Drosophila melanogaster: one gene and its partners. The protein of the gene in region 2 interacts with the protein of the main gene of each other region in a pairwise test. Each region holds a gene or a part of one and is shown on either strand. Other genes may lie near its edges.

The links. Proteins that work in one complex are often made in the same cells at the same time.
Region 1: the proteins of CG13544 (region 2) and CG5024 interact in a two-hybrid assay, tested with the Drosophila melanogaster proteins (one large-scale study listed by BioGRID).
Region 3: the proteins of CG13544 (region 2) and CG13066 interact in a two-hybrid assay, tested with the Drosophila melanogaster proteins (one large-scale study listed by BioGRID).

Annotation. Positions count from the first base shown.
Region 1 is NT_033777.3:25,807,569-25,813,141, forward strand, and holds CG5024 (uncharacterized protein), read left to right. Parts: upstream 1-3,527; 5' UTR 3,528-3,636; coding exon 3,637-4,134; 3' UTR 4,135-4,207; downstream 4,208-5,573. Other genes in the region: CG17770 (uncharacterized protein), read left to right, coding at 4,421-4,915; Acam (androcam), read left to right, coding at 5,076-5,522.
Region 2 is NT_033778.4:23,137,315-23,143,676, reverse strand, and holds CG13544 (uncharacterized protein), read left to right. Parts: upstream 1-3,099; 5' UTR 3,100-3,198; coding exon 3,199-3,269; intron 3,270-3,324; coding exon 3,325-3,393; intron 3,394-3,458; coding exon 3,459-3,857; intron 3,858-3,911; coding exon 3,912-4,219; intron 4,220-4,281; coding exon 4,282-4,538; 3' UTR 4,539-4,597; downstream 4,598-6,362. Other genes in the region: Klp59D (Kinesin-like protein at 59D), read right to left, coding at 1-1,511; CG30192 (uncharacterized protein), read right to left, coding at 4,666-4,694, 4,753-4,833, 4,900-5,002.
Region 3 is NT_037436.4:16,269,811-16,274,974, reverse strand, and holds CG13066 (uncharacterized protein), read right to left. Parts: upstream 2,067-5,164; 5' UTR 2,009-2,066; coding exon 1,997-2,008; intron 1,798-1,996; coding exon 1,528-1,797; 3' UTR 1,367-1,527; downstream 1-1,366. Other genes in the region: CG13067 (uncharacterized protein), read right to left, coding at 3,323-3,550, 3,624-3,635; CG34248 (uncharacterized protein), read left to right, coding at 4,177-4,473; CG13068 (uncharacterized protein), read right to left, coding at 5,141-5,164.

The DNA of each region.
Region 1 (5,573 bases), on a different chromosome or scaffold from region 2:
AGTAATATTCGCAATTTCCACACAGATTACTTTATTTAAAGCAACGTGGGGTTCTGGTCGGAAAGCAGAATATGTTTTCAAACTATAAAATAAATTTAAGAGCAGGAAACTAAATCAAAATTTAATTGGTATGATATAACTTTTGATATTATTCAAGAATTTTCGTTATAATAGGTGTAGGTTAAGAGACTATTTATTTAAATCCCCATTAATAGAATATAAGTATCTAGTTAAACACGATGTGCCATAGAAATATATACCCTGACCGTATTCACATGCAACAAAAGTTAATTATACTATATAAATAAACAGAGGTTGACAGTGACTTCTGTTTGGGCTATTAGGCTAATGGGCTTGCACAAAACTTTAGCCGGCCCAAAACAAACGAGCCAACAAACAAACCAACTGCAGTAAAAACAAAGCGTGTAGAAATAATGTGCTAAATGAACAAAAGCCCCACTTCCCTTTTTGTAGGGGGCGTAGAAATACTTGCAAAATACAAATAAAATTAACTAAAACTCAAACTCAAAGCAAACTCTGAGCTAAAGTCCAACACGGGGATCCATCCATTGTTGTTATTGCTGTTGTAGTTGTTGTTTTGGGCCAAAAGCTTACCGGGAAATTTTTGGAAAACGCTCAACTCTGAAATAATTAAAAACTAATTAAAGGGGCGGACGAGTGGTGGGCATGTGGCAAGCTGTTGTAAAACTTAATTAACTAAATGAGTGCAAGCGCAACAACAGCTAAAACAAAATAGCCATAGAAGTTGTTGTCCAAGCACACACACGAGGCGTATGAGTAATTTAATCATGTTTCATGCTGTCCTGGCCAAGTGAAGTCGGTCCAGAGCGCTGCGTTTGTTGACACCCACAAAATGCAATTTGCGCCACAAAAGCAAACAAAGAAAATCTTAGAAAATGGGGGAAAATACGAGGCGGCAAGCAAAAGTCAAACAAAGTTATATTCCAGATTGGATTTTAAGTTTTCGGATTAGTTGCAGCCTGGCAGATGCTTTTAGCATAATAAGAGCGAAAGAAACAAAACAGGGGAATGCGTATGTTTACCAAGTTGTAAAATTCTTTACTCCTTAAAATTGAATAAAACAAAAAATATCTGCATCCTCAGTTTATTTTCCATTTGAATTGTTTATTAAGCTCTTTAATATACTTAAAGATATAACTTTAATAATAAATCGGGATAAGGGACTTAAAAATGTTGTATGTAGTTTAAAGAGTAAATGACTATTGGGTTTGCTTGTAGTATAGATCGAGGACGTAGTCAATAAATTTACTTTTACTTTCGATTTAAAGACGCTTTTCCTGTGGCTTTTACTTGTTGTACTCCCAGTCGTCACCTTGTCACTTCACCTCGGGGCAACATTCTGCTATTGACTTGCATATTTGCGTTTCCACTCCAGTTTAATCCACCCACCTCCGCCATCCACCTCACCTGGTCTGAAAACCACTCCACGCACGTGCCATCAAAGTGAAATAGAAACAAACAGGAGAGGCAATGGGATGCCAAGGATCCCAGGGATCCCAAGGAGCCAGGTTTGTTCTACGCTTTTTCCTTTGCCGTCTGGCTTAAGTACATTGTTTGCCCAGGCGCTGACTCTGGGTATATATAGACCATACAATGCCCAAGGTGAAAAGCGGGCTGATATCCATAAACAAGGACCTCTAGAAGTCGGACTTCATGTTGGCCCCCGATGAAAAGCGACAGCTGCAACGCACAAGATTGAAACCGGAAACAAAAAGGCAATTCAATCCGGCATTCATTTCTCACAAATGCCTCCGTTCATTGTGGGCCACAACTGATTGCAACCGGTGGCTATAATTCATTCACATAGATGCACTTGCTACTGAGCTCCGTCCCGGATTCCCATACTGAAAACGCTTTGGCATAGACAAATCTGCGACTCGAATTGCAACCCGCGGTTATTGAATGGCATTACTTTGCAACTGGTCGACTGGGCTCCATATTTGCGATATCCAGCTGCTGGACGTCCGTCTGCCAATTGGATTCCAAAGGCATCCATTGTGTGGTCATTGGCCAGACCCAGCCTTTATATGCTTAATTGAAACGTCGCATGTCAGTATCAGATTGGTATTCCGTGCATCCATGCGTCAATCATCTATTACTTCTCCATTAATCATTGTATTGAGTTGGGTTTCAATATTACAACGTAGTAGAGACGTAAAATAAATGTAAGTTTTATTTGTACAACTGTTCCAAATATCTAATTTTCCAACTGATCTAGCTGAATACAAGAAATTCATCTGCATTCTCCATTCAAAATAATACGAATACTACTTACCCGAGCGAATATACGTAATACTATATGAAGTTGTGGTTCCAAAACTGGCATAAAGGGATTTGCACATGAAAACCCTTTGCATGTGTGTCCTGTCCCACTACAGAAATGCAAATTATCCAAATCCCCCAAAGGTCTGTTGCCATTTCGATTGCGGCTCGGCTGTTGCTATATCGTCCTGTTTATGCCTGATTAAAGTCAAACAACAAACATATTCTGAGCTGCATTTACCAGACAATCGTATAAACATATACACATGTGGTCATCAGAATAGAATTTATTAGTTGGGAGATCTACAAATCTGCCAATTATTTTAAGCAAATTGTTTTTACTCTCCTTTAACGCAAACAACTTTTATTTATTTAGTTAGTAGCCCTAATTAATATATTACCTGCTAAGTAATACTTGGAACTATTGTTTTCCATACAAATATATAATCCCGCATCTCTGGCCCGAAAAGTCCTCTCTAATCTATGCAGAGAAATGCTTGACAGTGCCTTGTTGTGTGGCTCAACTTTGGCCCCAATCCTAAATCCTTTGTGTCCTTCGTGGCCAGGATTTGCTTCTCATTACCAAGAAGCCCCCATTGTTCGCTCCACTGGGAGGAGCACGTGTGAGAAAGGTTGATGGCCAGGGACATGGGTTTGTGCAGTTTGGTTCTCGCCTTCTCCGCTCCCAAATTATGCAAATTGCTCGAAATTTTGCATTGGATAATTTCCCTATTTGCCCGTAATGCTCAATAAAAAAAAAAAAAATACAAACACAAAAAACATTTTATGACCCAAGAGACCAACGATGGCAGCAAATGGCTGAGCAGAAAAAATACTGAACAGTTGTATAAATGCACCAACAAAAATAAAAATAATATAAAAACAGAACAAACTGCGACGCATTTAATTAAAAATGTAATTACCCATGCTTTTCAACAGCCACATTGCTCGAAGCGGTAGCCAGAGGCTATGAAAACATTATTCGGAAAATTGTTGCAAATTTAATTGTTAAATCCTGCTATATTTTACTGCGGTGTTACTGCATCACGGAGCAGTTGTAGTTTTTTCCATTTCACAAATTTATCTTACTGAAAATGAGTTTAAGAACCATGTCAGAAAAGAGCGTGGGGCAACTAACAAAAAAAAAATTTTAAAAAACTAACTAGTAATCTTTTGTTGTCAATGCCTTGAATTTTCCACAATTTCAGTCTAAATGGAAAACTGTCAATGAAAAGACAATATTTAAACACAACTATTTTCGAAAAACTAAATTTTAAAATTCATCTTTTCGGGAAATCCAAATTTTAGCCCAAGGTATACTTACAATTTGCCATGGATGACTTTGATTTCAGTAGTCCACCTCCGGAGGTACGAACAGTTCATACCCACACGCTGAATGATGAACAGCTCAAGGATTGTGAGGCGGCCTTCGCCCTCTTCGACGACGATAATGCCAAGGTCATTCCGATCAAGTTATTGAGAGATTGCCTGCGAGCCGTGGCCCACAACCCGCCGGAAAACGAGATACAGGATTATATAACCGAAATTGATACGGATGGATCCGGCGAGCTTTATCTCAGTGATTTCCTATACATCATGTCGAAACGGTACGAGAATTTGACCGTCGAAGATGAAGTTATCCTCGCTTTCAAAGTCTTCGACAAAGATGGATCTGGCTTTATACACGAGAATGAGTTCCGTCAGATAATGACTGAATATGGCGATGAAATGGAAGAGGACGAGATCGAGGAAATGATACGTGATGCCGACGCCAACACGGAACTGAAAATCGACTACGTTCGCTTTGTGACCATGATGATGGAGACGTAACACTCTCTTTGAAAAATAAAAAACATAACCGATTGTAGATCTAATCAATAAATTTCAAAAGCATGGCCAATGGAATCGAAGATCTTGAAATATCGGATACCACCAGTTTGGACTATTCTTTAAAAAAAAAAAAAAGCCAATATACAATAGATAAAATGATAACAAGAGTAGGCTTTTCTTGTTATTAAATTATAAATATGAAGTTGTGAACTAAAGTTTGTCGAAAATTTGTAGTGAGTGTTCAGTGACCCCAAAATTTTCCCACCCCCAACCCCTTCCTTTGGCCATGGATTTCGAATTCCTTACTCCGCCGCCAGAGGAACGGACCATTCGCACCCACAATCTGACCGAAGAACAGGTCAAGGATTTGGAGATTGCCTTTTCCCTGTTTGACGACCAAGACACTAAGGTTATTCCTATAACAAATCTCAGGCAACTAATGCTGTCTGTGGCCCACTATCCCAGTGATATGGAATTGCAGGAAATTCAGGCCGAGATCGATGCTGATGGATCCGGTGAGTTATATCTCAGCGATTTCCTTCACATCATGTCTCAGAGGTACGCAAACATGTCTACCGAGGATGAAATTATAGCTGCATTCAGAGTCTTTGACAAAGAAGGAACCGGCTTAATATCTGAATCGGAATTTCGTCACATAATGCAGAACATGGGGGAGCAATTGACGGATGATGAGGTGGAGGAGATCATCCGTGATGCAAATTCTGATTTGGAAGGCAATATAGACTATGTGCGATTTGTCAGAATGATGTCCACTACATAAGGAAAAAGCAGGCTTTAGGGGTTGGGAACCCGACCTGTCAGTATCAGTATCATCAAAACAGTTTCGGCTCATTCCCTTTCGTAAATTCCAACAGTCTATAGCTCTGCAAGCATTTAAAAATATCTCGATAAATACCGAAAATCTTTGAAAATTTATCAAGATGTCCGAACTAACGGAGGAGCAGATTGCCGAGTTCAAGGATGCCTTTGTCCAGTTCGACAAGGAGGGAACCGGCAAGATCGCCACCCGTGAGCTGGGCACATTGATGCGCACCTTGGGCCAGAATCCAACGGAGGCCGAGTTGCAAGATTTGATAGCTGAGGCCGAGAACAACAACAATGGCCAACTGAACTTCACTGAGTTCTGCGGTATAATGGCCAAGCAAATGCGGGAAACTGACACTGAGGAGGAAATGCGTGAGGCATTCAAGATTTTTGATCGTGATGGCGATGGCTTTATATCACCAGCTGAGCTTCGCTTTGTGATGATCAATCTGGGCGAAAAGGTCACCGACGAGGAGATCGATGAGATGATTCGCGAGGCTGATTTTGATGGGGATGGCATGATCAACTACGAGGAATTCGTATGGATGATAAGCCAGAAGTAGTACAGCTACTTTAAATGAAATAAAAATATTTGGGGTCACTGCATAAAAAAA
Region 2 (6,362 bases):
CACTCCTTGAGGGCCAGCAGAGATTTATTGATCTCGGCTCCCTCGATGCGAGTTTGACGATCGGCGGATTGCGTATCCGCCCCGCGTTCATTGCCCGCCAAGTCCACAAAGGAGCACTTGCCGTGTGGGCCCCAGGAATCGGGAAAGTGGAGTGCTATTTGAAAGACGGCGTGGGAACGCGATGACTTGGCGTTCGCCGATGTTTGGCCGGAAGTGCGCTCTTTGCTGCCGTGCTCAATCAGTCTCAGGACATCCTCCACTTTGGTCACCGGCATCTCCGTTAGGCCCACCACCACGACCTGCTGCCTGGCATCCTCTAGGACCCGCAGCATGGGCTTGTTGGGTAGCAAGAGATCGAACACCTTGGTGCCATAGATTTCGAAGAAGCTGCACGTAATCTTGGCACCCATTTGCCGGTACTCCGGGCGCGATACCTCCTCGAAGACATCGCGAGCTGCCATGGCGTAGATCCCGGTACCGCAATCCTGAACCTTTCCGAAGAATTCTCCGCCCATGGTGTGCGTTTTTCCGCTGCCAGTTTGTCCGTAAGCGAAACAAGTGGCATTGCCGCCCTCGAACATGGTTCTGATCAACGGACGAGCAGTGTGATCGTAGACCAGCGCATTGGAGCACTCCTCGTCGAACGTGTAGTCGAAACGGAATTTGTGGTGCTCCAGGAACTTGGTGAGATCCACCTTGAGGCGCAACTCATGGACGATCAGGCTGTCGGCACTGGGAACTGTGATGATGTCCAGGTTCTTGGAGTTCTCCTCCTTGCGACTCATGGGTCGTTTTCGCACACACACCGTAATTTGCTGAACAGTGCCTCCATTGGGATCCAGGCATCGAAGTGGAGAAAAGATCAAGGTGGAGCGGTATTGGCGCAGCATCACCGACACCTCCCAGTTGGGATTCCCCGGATTATTGCGACGCAGTGCATCCTTCTCCTGGAGCTGTTCCGCCTGGCGAGCCCTTCGCTTCTCCCTCTGCTCCTTCATGCGATTCACCTCCCTCACTACACTGGAAAAGCGTTGGTTGCTATTGTTGCCACCCTGTGACTTGCGACCTTGGGTGGGGCTGGCATCCCGGTCCGGCCTACCGGCTGGCACACGAGGGGTGTGCGCTCTACCCAGCTCATGATTTCCCGCTCCGACCGCTGCAGGATCCGTCTTTCTGGTGGCAATTTTACTGCGACCGTCCTGTACTCTCATGCGCTCTGCATACGGATTTCCAGTGTGGGTCTTAGGTCCTCCGGTCGGACTCGAGCCTCGAGGCTTCGGCAGCAAGGAGCTCGGTGGCTTCGATATCGGCGGTTGATTCTCCGCGAATATATGATGGTTGATGCCAATCAGCGTGCTCAATGGCACTTCCTTACCCTTCACCACCGTGCCCTCGGTCCATTCGCCCGTGATGGAATCCCGTTCCAGGTTCTTGGCAGTGCAGACCACCTGATGGACACGCCCGTCACTCCTCTGGAAGAGGAGCTGCTCGCCAATTTTGATGCGATCCATGTCTGGTGGCAACGGATTATACAGCTCTCGATTTATAAAAGATGTATTTTTTTTAGGATTTTCAGATTATATATATTTTTCTTGATTTCCAGTTCACAAGCGAATGATGACCAGATGTTGCCTCTGTAATTTATTGTCGAGTGTGAGTTTGAGGGGCTACTGACAATCGTTCAAAATCTAATAACGAACCCTTACCGCCTAGCCTACTCTTCTCTTTTTAATACCTATTTTATAAGGGAGCCTTCTTAAAGTGGAACTACATACATATACATATAGGTGGCTCTTGAACCTTTTCCTTCCGCTCTCAGAACAATTTTATGGTTAACATATTTGGGGTGTTGGCTCGTAAATTCCTTGGGTTAGCAGCTTCTTTTGATATATGGCTCTTGGCTCGTTACGGGTTAGTACTTTTCAAATTAGATTTCGGCTCCCTACCTTTTTCCTCTTTTGTGTGTCATAAAGCGATGGCAGGACCTTTTCGTATTTACACAAGCGTGCACATTCCACAAATAAATAGCTCTCGTTCTGTTGTCTAGACATGTGATTGGAGCACAATTAAAATACATCTGCTTCGTCGAGGCAAACCCTTCGAGGGATCAAAGAACGTGCTGCTCCCAGTCGGTCAGGTGTAAAAACTAATTTACGGCAATGCCAGTCCAGCAGCCCCAAAAACCGCAATCGAAACCCCAAGGTGAACGCTTGTGTTGAGCAGGGGGGCATTCTGCCAACTGCGACTGTGACTGTGACTGTAACTGGGACTTTGACTAGCATGCTTTTCTGGTCCAGTTTTGCTATCAGCTACTGGGTCAGCACGGGCTATATGGACCATAAATCTCATGGCTGCTGCAATCAGGGCCTGCAATCGCAATCTGCATCAGAAATCAGCGAGCAGTGCCAACTTGTCAGGGCCGCATAGATAGCGACCAAACTGGAAACTGGAAATGGCGTCAAGGGCGCCATAAATGAGAATTTCCGTTTCATTTCCGACCGTTTGTTTGCGATTGTGAATGTGAATGGCAGTGTGTATGTGTGTGTGCCAGTGCGGTTCATTTGTGGCCCATAATGAGCTGGCAAAATGTCGTGGCTCTGTATCGATTTTCGTTTAAAGTGCCGGCCAGGACCACCTAATGGCTTTCAGTGTCCCGAATTTATGGCAACTTGACCTCGGCCATTTGTCAGCATTAGAACACAATTGGATAGCATGGCCGTTGCAGTCAAGGGCATCATAAATGGTCGACTGCCAACTGCCAATATGGGTCCTTCCATTGGTCCTTAAGCGAGCTTAAGACCACAGGCATCGATACAATTCAATTAAATACCGCCTTGGAAAATTCAAGCCAGTCTGCAGAATATTTATGCCAACTCGAGGTGGTGGAATAGACACATAAATCTGTTTTCTCCCGACGCGATAAGCGGCAAACATGTTGATGCAAAGGCGAAATAAAATATGTCGCCTAAATTGAGACCAGGATGCAAAGCCCGAAGATTTATGTGGATATAATCGCTGGAGGCCATAAATTATGGCCAGCAGCTAGACGGAAATCTACGAGTCATCGATTTTCCACCGAGATGTCAGTCACAGCAAACACTTTGTTCTACTAAAATATGTTAATACACACTGTACACAAAGTTAACACTAAACATATACACTTAAATTAGGAAGAAGTAGAGCGGTTTATTTTTCAGGATGTTCTCAGGACTTATACCCATGATGCAGCAGACTCGGAGGGCCACGGTTCCACTAGGTGGGGACAGCCGGTAATCATATCTATAAATATGTGTGAACTTTTATTCATCCGTCCTGTTTTTACAGAAGTGGCAACACCGAGTCCCAAATTGGATCCAGTAAATCTTCTAATTGCAGATTGCACCTAATTTCGCGGTAAGTCTACTACATACTGTACACTTTTACACACCTTTTTGCAAAGAATTGAAAACCAATTTCAGAACCGGAAAGCTTCTTCTGGACTACAAGCAATACAAGGCAGCCCGAACTATCCAAAACAACTGGCGGAAATTCTATTTTCGAAAGTATTTCAAGGATCTAAGAAAGGCGGTCATCACGATTCAGCGCTGGTGGCGCGGATTCTCGGTCCGAAAAAACCACTTCAGGTATGTGGAGAACCTGCTGCAGAAGCGGGTTCAGGATCACCACCATCGGGCGGCCACCAAGATCCAGGCCCTATTCCGAGGATGGAAGAGCCGGCGCACCATTCACGATCACAGCAAATTGCTCAGGAAGCAGGTGTGCGCCGCCGAGGATCTGCTCAACTGCGTGGCCTTCAAGCTGCACCACCTGCTCCGCACCTTCGCAATTCCAGGTGTATATTCGCTCAAGAACTCAAAGTGAGTATGCCCATATAAGTGGAAATCAATTTACTGAAATATCGCCACCAACAGCTGCATGTCGCGAGTAGAGAAGCTGCTGGCCAGCTTGCATTTTCGCTTCCACAATGGAAGGGTTAAGACGCAATTGGCTAAAGAACTGGCCGATCGAGGAAAGGATACGGAAACTTTCAAGAGGAGTAACAAGTTCAGCAAAGTCCCATTCGAAGGAGCCCGCTATTGGAGCCAATGCAAGCCAAAGTGCGAGGCCGCCCTGAAAATGTCCAAGAATATTGAAAGGCGCATGTACAGAATCATCGAGATTTACGATGCTTCACAGAGAGAAGCCCATGCGGCGTTGGTCGAAAAGAATAGGGCGTACAGTAAGCTAGCTTCTAAATCTTCTAATATATAGTTTTTGAAAATATATAAATTCATTTCACAGGAAAGCACAAGGGGCTTATGCAGAACATCAAGAAATCGGCGGAGAAGAGTAAACGCGACTTCTGCGGCGATGTCATCGCCAGTATGAGACGCTGGAAAATTCTGGTGGACAACGATTTGACTGTGGACAAGAACATATTCAAAAACCCGCAAAATTTGGAAAGGTTCGTTGCTGAAATATCGCAATATGCAAATGAGTTCGAGAACTGCACCTGCTATTGCCGCATTCCCGTATTCACCGAAATCTATTGCGGCTAAATGTCATTAAAACCAGTAGTCTCGTACCAAGTAGTGAAAATAAATACAATTTTCTAACTAAAGATTTTATTAGTTTTGCTATGGAACCATTGACTGCTCTGCAACAGTTACAAGTATACGGATTAGATCAGTTGAAAATCGCATTAAATATATCGACTGCGGAGAAATTAGTATATTAGATGCATTCCGTATCTAAGTTCGTTTATCTTCTCACCAAATACGTTGCCGAAAAATCGCAGAAGTTCGGTGGCAAACGAGGGTCTTTGATAATCGGTCCAATTATCCGTCATCTGATCTGTTTTGGAATTTATCGAGTAATCATTTAGGTGTTAATCCTTGTTGGCTTCGGGCTATTTCTCACCTAAATGCTCGCAATCTAGCCGCTTGTTCAGGTCGAAGCTGTCAGCGCCTCCGAGGGGAGGAGCCACAGTCTCATCGATGTCATTGATACTCGGATCCGCCATGGTGAAGTAGAAATTTCTATGAAAACTCACAATTTGGATTTAAATTTTAATCACACTTCAAAGTGTTTACGGCAGCTTTGATTTGGAGTTGGGGAATGGGTAAGGAGTTCTAAGAGGTAAAGCATGGATTACTTGGTTTTGGGATTAGTTCTCAGAGTAATGTATTATAAGGAATTTCCTTCCCCAGAGTGTTTTTTTTTTTAAATACAGTGATATCAGATGTGCGCATTCAAAGACACAAAACATGCAATTTTCCCTACCAACAGCTGCGAGTTACGAGCCAAGTGTGCGATTTATGCCATAAACTTTTCCGGCCACAACATTTCAGATCCGGATAGAAGGCATGCAAATACGGAATGGAAAACGGAATGTGGGGCGGGATTTTCTCGAAACCTGTCCCTGAACGAGCATAAATTAAGAGGCCAGTTGCCGGTGCTTTTAATTAGACAGTGAAACACGGCTTCGTCTGGCCAATGGCCAGGGGTTCTCTTTCTGGCCAGAACATCAAAACAGGGCTCCGAACAGCAGGAGACTTGGTAATTGTATGGCTGGCCTTCATCATCGCCGGCTCCATAATAATCACCATCCTCAGATATGCAATTAGAGGACAAACGAAAAATGTGTCTTGGTCAGACGCTGTCATCGTCATCGTCGCCCAGGGATAAATACATATTTCCCAGACTCCGCAGCTCCATGTGTATATATACTTATATTATATACAAATGAAATTAACCATATTCATCAGGCCCACAACTAAATGCAACATTTTCGGCCGCTAATGACGAGCGTTGTCGTCGTCTTTGACAGCAACTTGTGTCGCCCTTGGGCCAGGTTCTTTATCACTTGGTTAATTACTTATGGCTCCCACCTCCCCCGATCCTTTGGTTCAGCCCCCGCAATCGTTGGTCCTCTCCGGCGACGAGTTTCGTTTAATTTGCGGTTGACATGACAGCTCCCTTGACTTGTTTCACTGGCTTTGTTAAAATGAATCTCTCAGTCTGGCCAACAGGTACACTTGCAATCATATGGTAATCACATAGTTAAGTTAAGTTAAGTTTTCATGGACAGCTAAGCAGGAAAGTTAGGTCAAATATTTTTAAATATATTAGATAAAATGTATTTCGTAGCCCCCAAACTCACAGTGCAGACTTCGAAATGAGTTCGAAGCTAGAAGCAGAGATAGCTGAAATGAGTACAGCTAAAAAAAAAATGCACTAATTTAAGCATATTAAAACTTTTTTGCCAAATAGTAAAACCATTTGACAGGGCTGCCGAAACTTTCTCATTTTTTTGTACAGCTTTTCGGCCAAATTCCGAGCAGCTTTATAAACATTAGGAAAGTAGGCTGACGATGGGGGTT
Region 3 (5,164 bases), on a different chromosome or scaffold from region 2:
GCTATACATTAAGAACTGAGTTGCATCCAAAAACCATATATATTTATACTTACTTATAAAGTTAGAAAACAAATATTTTGATATCCTCAATTCAGACACGGTATAGACTTACCTTAACTGAATACTACGACAAGAGAGCATTTGAAACTAATTTTATAAACACACTTACCTAAAGTACAACATTTAAGCATTAAATTAGACTATTTGACAATATTTAACTTATGTTAATTTAAGCTTACACACCCCACCCCCAAACTCTTTCATAGAGTACCCACTCCAGTAAAGCCTGGGAAACGGAACGTTTAAGTGCAACTTCTGGGGCTTCGGCAATTATAAATCGCCGCATGTTTCGCGAGGGGGCAGCTGATTAATGGGGCGTGACCATCGAGACAAAAGGCAGCGTTAAATTTTAATTTAATTTTCCGACTACAGCCACAAAACAAGTAAATTAGCTGCAAGAAGTGCAACTGCACGTGCAGAATGAGGCGTTTTTCAGCTTTTACAGGGCTATAAAAAGCGTTGAAAGCATCGAGGAGAATTGAGAATCAGCAACTCAAAGACTTGAATTAATTTGCAAAATGTTGTTTCTTAGTTAAATGTCGTTCGCTTGATTTGATTTTCATACTTTTCGACGGTTGCACGCGGCGTATGATTAATGCCAGAGTTGGCGTGGTGGGTTCGTTTGAGGCGTGGCTTCGTTCAACTTATCGATGGCGGGTGATTAGCAAAATGCAATTTAAGCGGCGCCCCTCAATGTAGTACCATATTCGCAGTGGCGATGGAAATGCATTGACCTCTAAGCCAACACACACGCAACTTGCAATCAAAGTGATAAACAATGTGCCGCGAGCTGGCCACATAGACCTCGAAGGGTCAGGGGGGTATCAGGGCTAAGGGGGTGCGAACTGCGTAAACAAAGCTCAAGGATTGCGTCCTGGAACGTGGCGAAGTGTCGATGAACCAAAGTGGGCGCACAAACAGGCCAGAGTTGGGCACACCCTTGGAGGGCACTCTGTCATATGGGAGCTGTCTAATGAAAATGGTGGCCTGATTTAACCTTAAACGAATTCATTCTTCTCATCATATAATAGTTTAAAGTGCTCTGGTGACCATTGCAAATGTTAAAAATTAAAGCTTGCAGCACTCGTTAATAATTCAAATGAAATCCCTTATCTTGAACTTATAATTCTATGTAATACCACAAACTAAAGCTATATATATATACTTCCCATCCAGGTATCTATTGCAATAAGACGGCGCTTCCCAAGAGCAACCTGCACTATCTGTTTCCTTTGAAGAAAAGTCCCGATGCCCACGGCAAGATTAAAATTAAACGGAAGGAATAAAACTCGATTCACTTCTCAGTCGGTCAGTGCGTGGGCCTGATGCATTGCGTTTTAATTTCTGTTTGCCTGCGAGCATGTATCTCCATCTCTGTTTGTATCTGTATCTTTCGCCGTGGCAGTGACGACGTCCGGTGGACACGTGCGGCAGCCTTGCGGAATCCCTTTGCCATCCTGGGACATCTTACTTCTTGAGGATGGTGGCCACAGGGGCGGCGGCATAAACGGCTGGCAGGGCGGCGCTGTGGGCCACACTGTGGGCACTGTAGCTACTGGCATAGGGGGCCACGTAGGGGGCGTAGGCAGGGGTGTAGGCGGCGGTGTAGGCGAGGGGTGCGGCAGCGGGCAGGGAGCTGTACGCCAGTGGAGTGGAGTAGGCCAGAGGGGCATTGTAGGCCAGCAGACCAGGATTGGCAGCAGCGGCGGCGAACAGGGCGCACAGGACAACGGCAAACTGCAGGATAAAATGCATACAAAAAGTACATTAAAATACACATTTACAAGAAGTTTTATAAATATAAAAAATTGTTTGAAAAATCTACACTGTTTGATAATAGTTTTATTTCGAACACACGCGTTTTTGTTTGTATTTAGGATTGTGAATTGTTGCATTTTTGAAACATTGTATCCTTAAAAAAATGTTGGAAACTTACGAATTTCATCATTTTAATTGATTTGGTTGTGTTAGCGTCGAAGTTAGACTTCTGATTGATGTCTTGTGCTGAGTTCGAAGTGGTTTATATAGGTAAATATACATAGCATCCTTGACAAAGCCCATTGAAAAAGCAAAAACCCAGCAAGTTTAAAGCATTTCCATCACGTACCAGGGCTAAAACAGGGCCAAACATTTGGTCTCTTTTTACTGGCACAATTATAATGTTGCAGATTTGTGTTTGTCGATATGCCTGCGAATAGTACGCATTCCTTGTGAATTTATTATTGAAAATGAATGTTTTTTCCCGCTCATCTTGAGCATTTCCGCAACTGGCGTCAGCAGCTGTCGTTTGCCGATTGAATTATCATAATTTAGCACTCAGTGCGTTTTGTGGGCTGTGAACGTGCGTGTCATTCCAACCGTCTTGGCCATCTCCGGAGTTCGGCTCACTCTGTACGTTTCAATTGTCAGCCACTCGAACACGCCACTTTGCATTCTAATCAGAGATGCAAGTAAAAATAGAAGCGGTTTATCCAGTTTCGAAGGACGTCATCGAGTTGAGCCCTTGGCTTAAGGTTGAGGACACCAGAAACAGGGAATCGAAAGCTTTGCATAAATGGAATCGCGAGTTCAATAAACCGGAGGTCTCGTTGACCCTATTAATCCAATGCAAACATGGACATTCCACCACGAAGAACACAACCTCCTTTACACTTCCTTTTTTTTTAACAAATAATAGGTTTTAAGTCCAAAAAATAATTTCCAATGTATCAAAGCAATTTATTGATACAAAGCTTAAAAAAGTCATTGATTCCTTCCAGCCCACCAAAATTAAAAAATGTAGGGGCTAGCAATTTATGAAACTAGTGTGAGAAATATTTACTGAAAATATGATATCACCTACTTTATAAATAATATTTCCATTGGATTTTAATGTATACCAAATTTAGTACTTAGTACCCATTGCAAAAGAGTACTGCCTAAAAGTATGTGATTATACATACTCCCTTCACATTAGAGATGAATAAGTGATGCAATAAATTATGAACAAGTGGTATACGTTTTACGCAAAATGCAGTATTTATTTCAACAAAAATATTCCCTTTCTTGAAGTGGTATGTCCTGTTCCCATGACTTAACTTTCAGCAGTCGGCAGAGGTGGGGAAATGTAGAGTCTGTCGAACTAACACCAGGGATGTAAGAAGATTGGATGTTGCAGGTGGTTAGCAGGAAGGTGTGTATCCTTGTTGCAATAGATGTGTATATGTTTATATTCAGGTCCAGTTCAGCAGTCAGGTTAAGATCACGATCCATTCATCCAGTCTTAACGGTAGTAGGCGGCATAGGGGTAGGCGGAGTAGGCGGACGCATAGGGGTACGTGTAGGCGGAGTAGGCGGCGGCCACTGGAGCGGTGTATGCCGCGGTGTAGGCAGCCGAGTAAGGAGCAGCTGCCACATAGGGAGCGGAGTAGGCGCTGTAGGCCAGAGGAGAAGCGAGCACCGCCGGCTTGGCAGAGACGCAGGCCACGATGGCGAACAGGCACAGAGCGAACTGAAAGGATAGGAAAAGTGCTTATGAGTAATCCGTTGTTTGGTGGCAAGTCCAGCTATCCTGCGATCCTTACGTATTTGAACATGTTGGCTGTTTGGGTTGGTTGTGAACTGTTGGTTCTCAAGTACTAGACTGATATCTCCTAGTGCCCGAGTACTCGGGTATATATAGCAGAATCGGTCGAGAAAATTCCATTCCAATTCCCCACATTGAAGCGAAGGTGATGCGTGGCCATTGGTATGCACATCCATTCCCAGATCGGTTCCAAGTCCATTTTGAAGCCAGCCAAGGAGAATCTTGAGCATTATGGCTTTGCACTTTTGGTTTCGTTTGGTATTTTTAAAAGCGTGACGAAAAGCGAAAAACAAATCGAATGTGAGTCCGTGTTTTGCATACTAAAACGTAGCTGGATATTGATCCATCCATCGGCAAGTCTGGAAATGACCCACAAAAACTGCCGGGTTGGGTTCAGAAATTTATAAAGCTGGGTTCTGTCGCTCCAGTCATGTTTATTTCGTTTTCAGAACGTTGAGCTATCAGATCTTATCAGCTCGGATTAGCTATGTACAGGAAATTAGTAAGTCTCAAGCGGTTATCCGCCGAGAAGTCGATGCACTTGCTCAAAGATGATGAGGCCTCGCCATCGGTGGCCATTTCAGGTGGTGCTCCTCCTTCTGATCCACCTGGCGGCCGCGGGTCAGATCCAGGATGCTGCCGAGGAGATCGATGTGCCGCCTGCCCATCGGGCTGCTCCACCACCGCCCCGCCAGGCAGCTGGAGCTGCTGTTCCCCCACCACCACTGGGGCCACCACCACTTGTGGGCTCTGCACCGCCGCCGAGCTATCCTTTGTTCTACCCAGCTGCGTGGCTGCCATTCGGACGCTACAGCAACTCCATTCCCGTCCACATAGTGGCTGCCTAGGGGAGCGTCCTCCCACTGGCCATAAGGTGGTCAAAGGACACTGTTGTCCCTCCTGTTGAATCCTTTCCCTGTTATGGTTGCTATTTTACTCGTTATTGCCCGCTTTAAGCCAGAAATATATTTTTAGACACGCACATGCATAATTATTTATTCGGGTTGACGCAACTTTCAGTCGGCAATTTTTAAATGGCCAACACGTGATTCTCCTACCAGAGATGCCGGTTACCTATACATTTCGAGAAATCTATCACTTTTGCCATCTGTGATTTGTCAATGGATGATGACGCAACTGAATTGGTATTTTTTCGGGCTACATTTCCGCATTTTAAGTGGGCAGAACAGACGCTGCCAGAACAAAAGGTTTAGAAAAGGTGACAGTAAAAAAATATTAATTATAAAAAACGTATATGTTTAGGTGACTTTCTTTTTAAATACTATCAAGAACTTTTGTTGCCGCCAAAAGATTGAGAAATAATAATTAATAGTAGAAAATCCATTAAAAAGTATTAATAATATATAACTATAGCTTTTTTGCTATTGAAAAACAGAACTTGGTGTTCCCATTTCCAGAATAATATTTTTAAGCTTTTAGTTTGATTTGTTTTATTGCCAGTCGGGTCTATTTTTATTCCATTTCAAATCCGTTTTGAATACTTGTTAATCCGTTTTACAAAACAGTGGTGTATGCAGC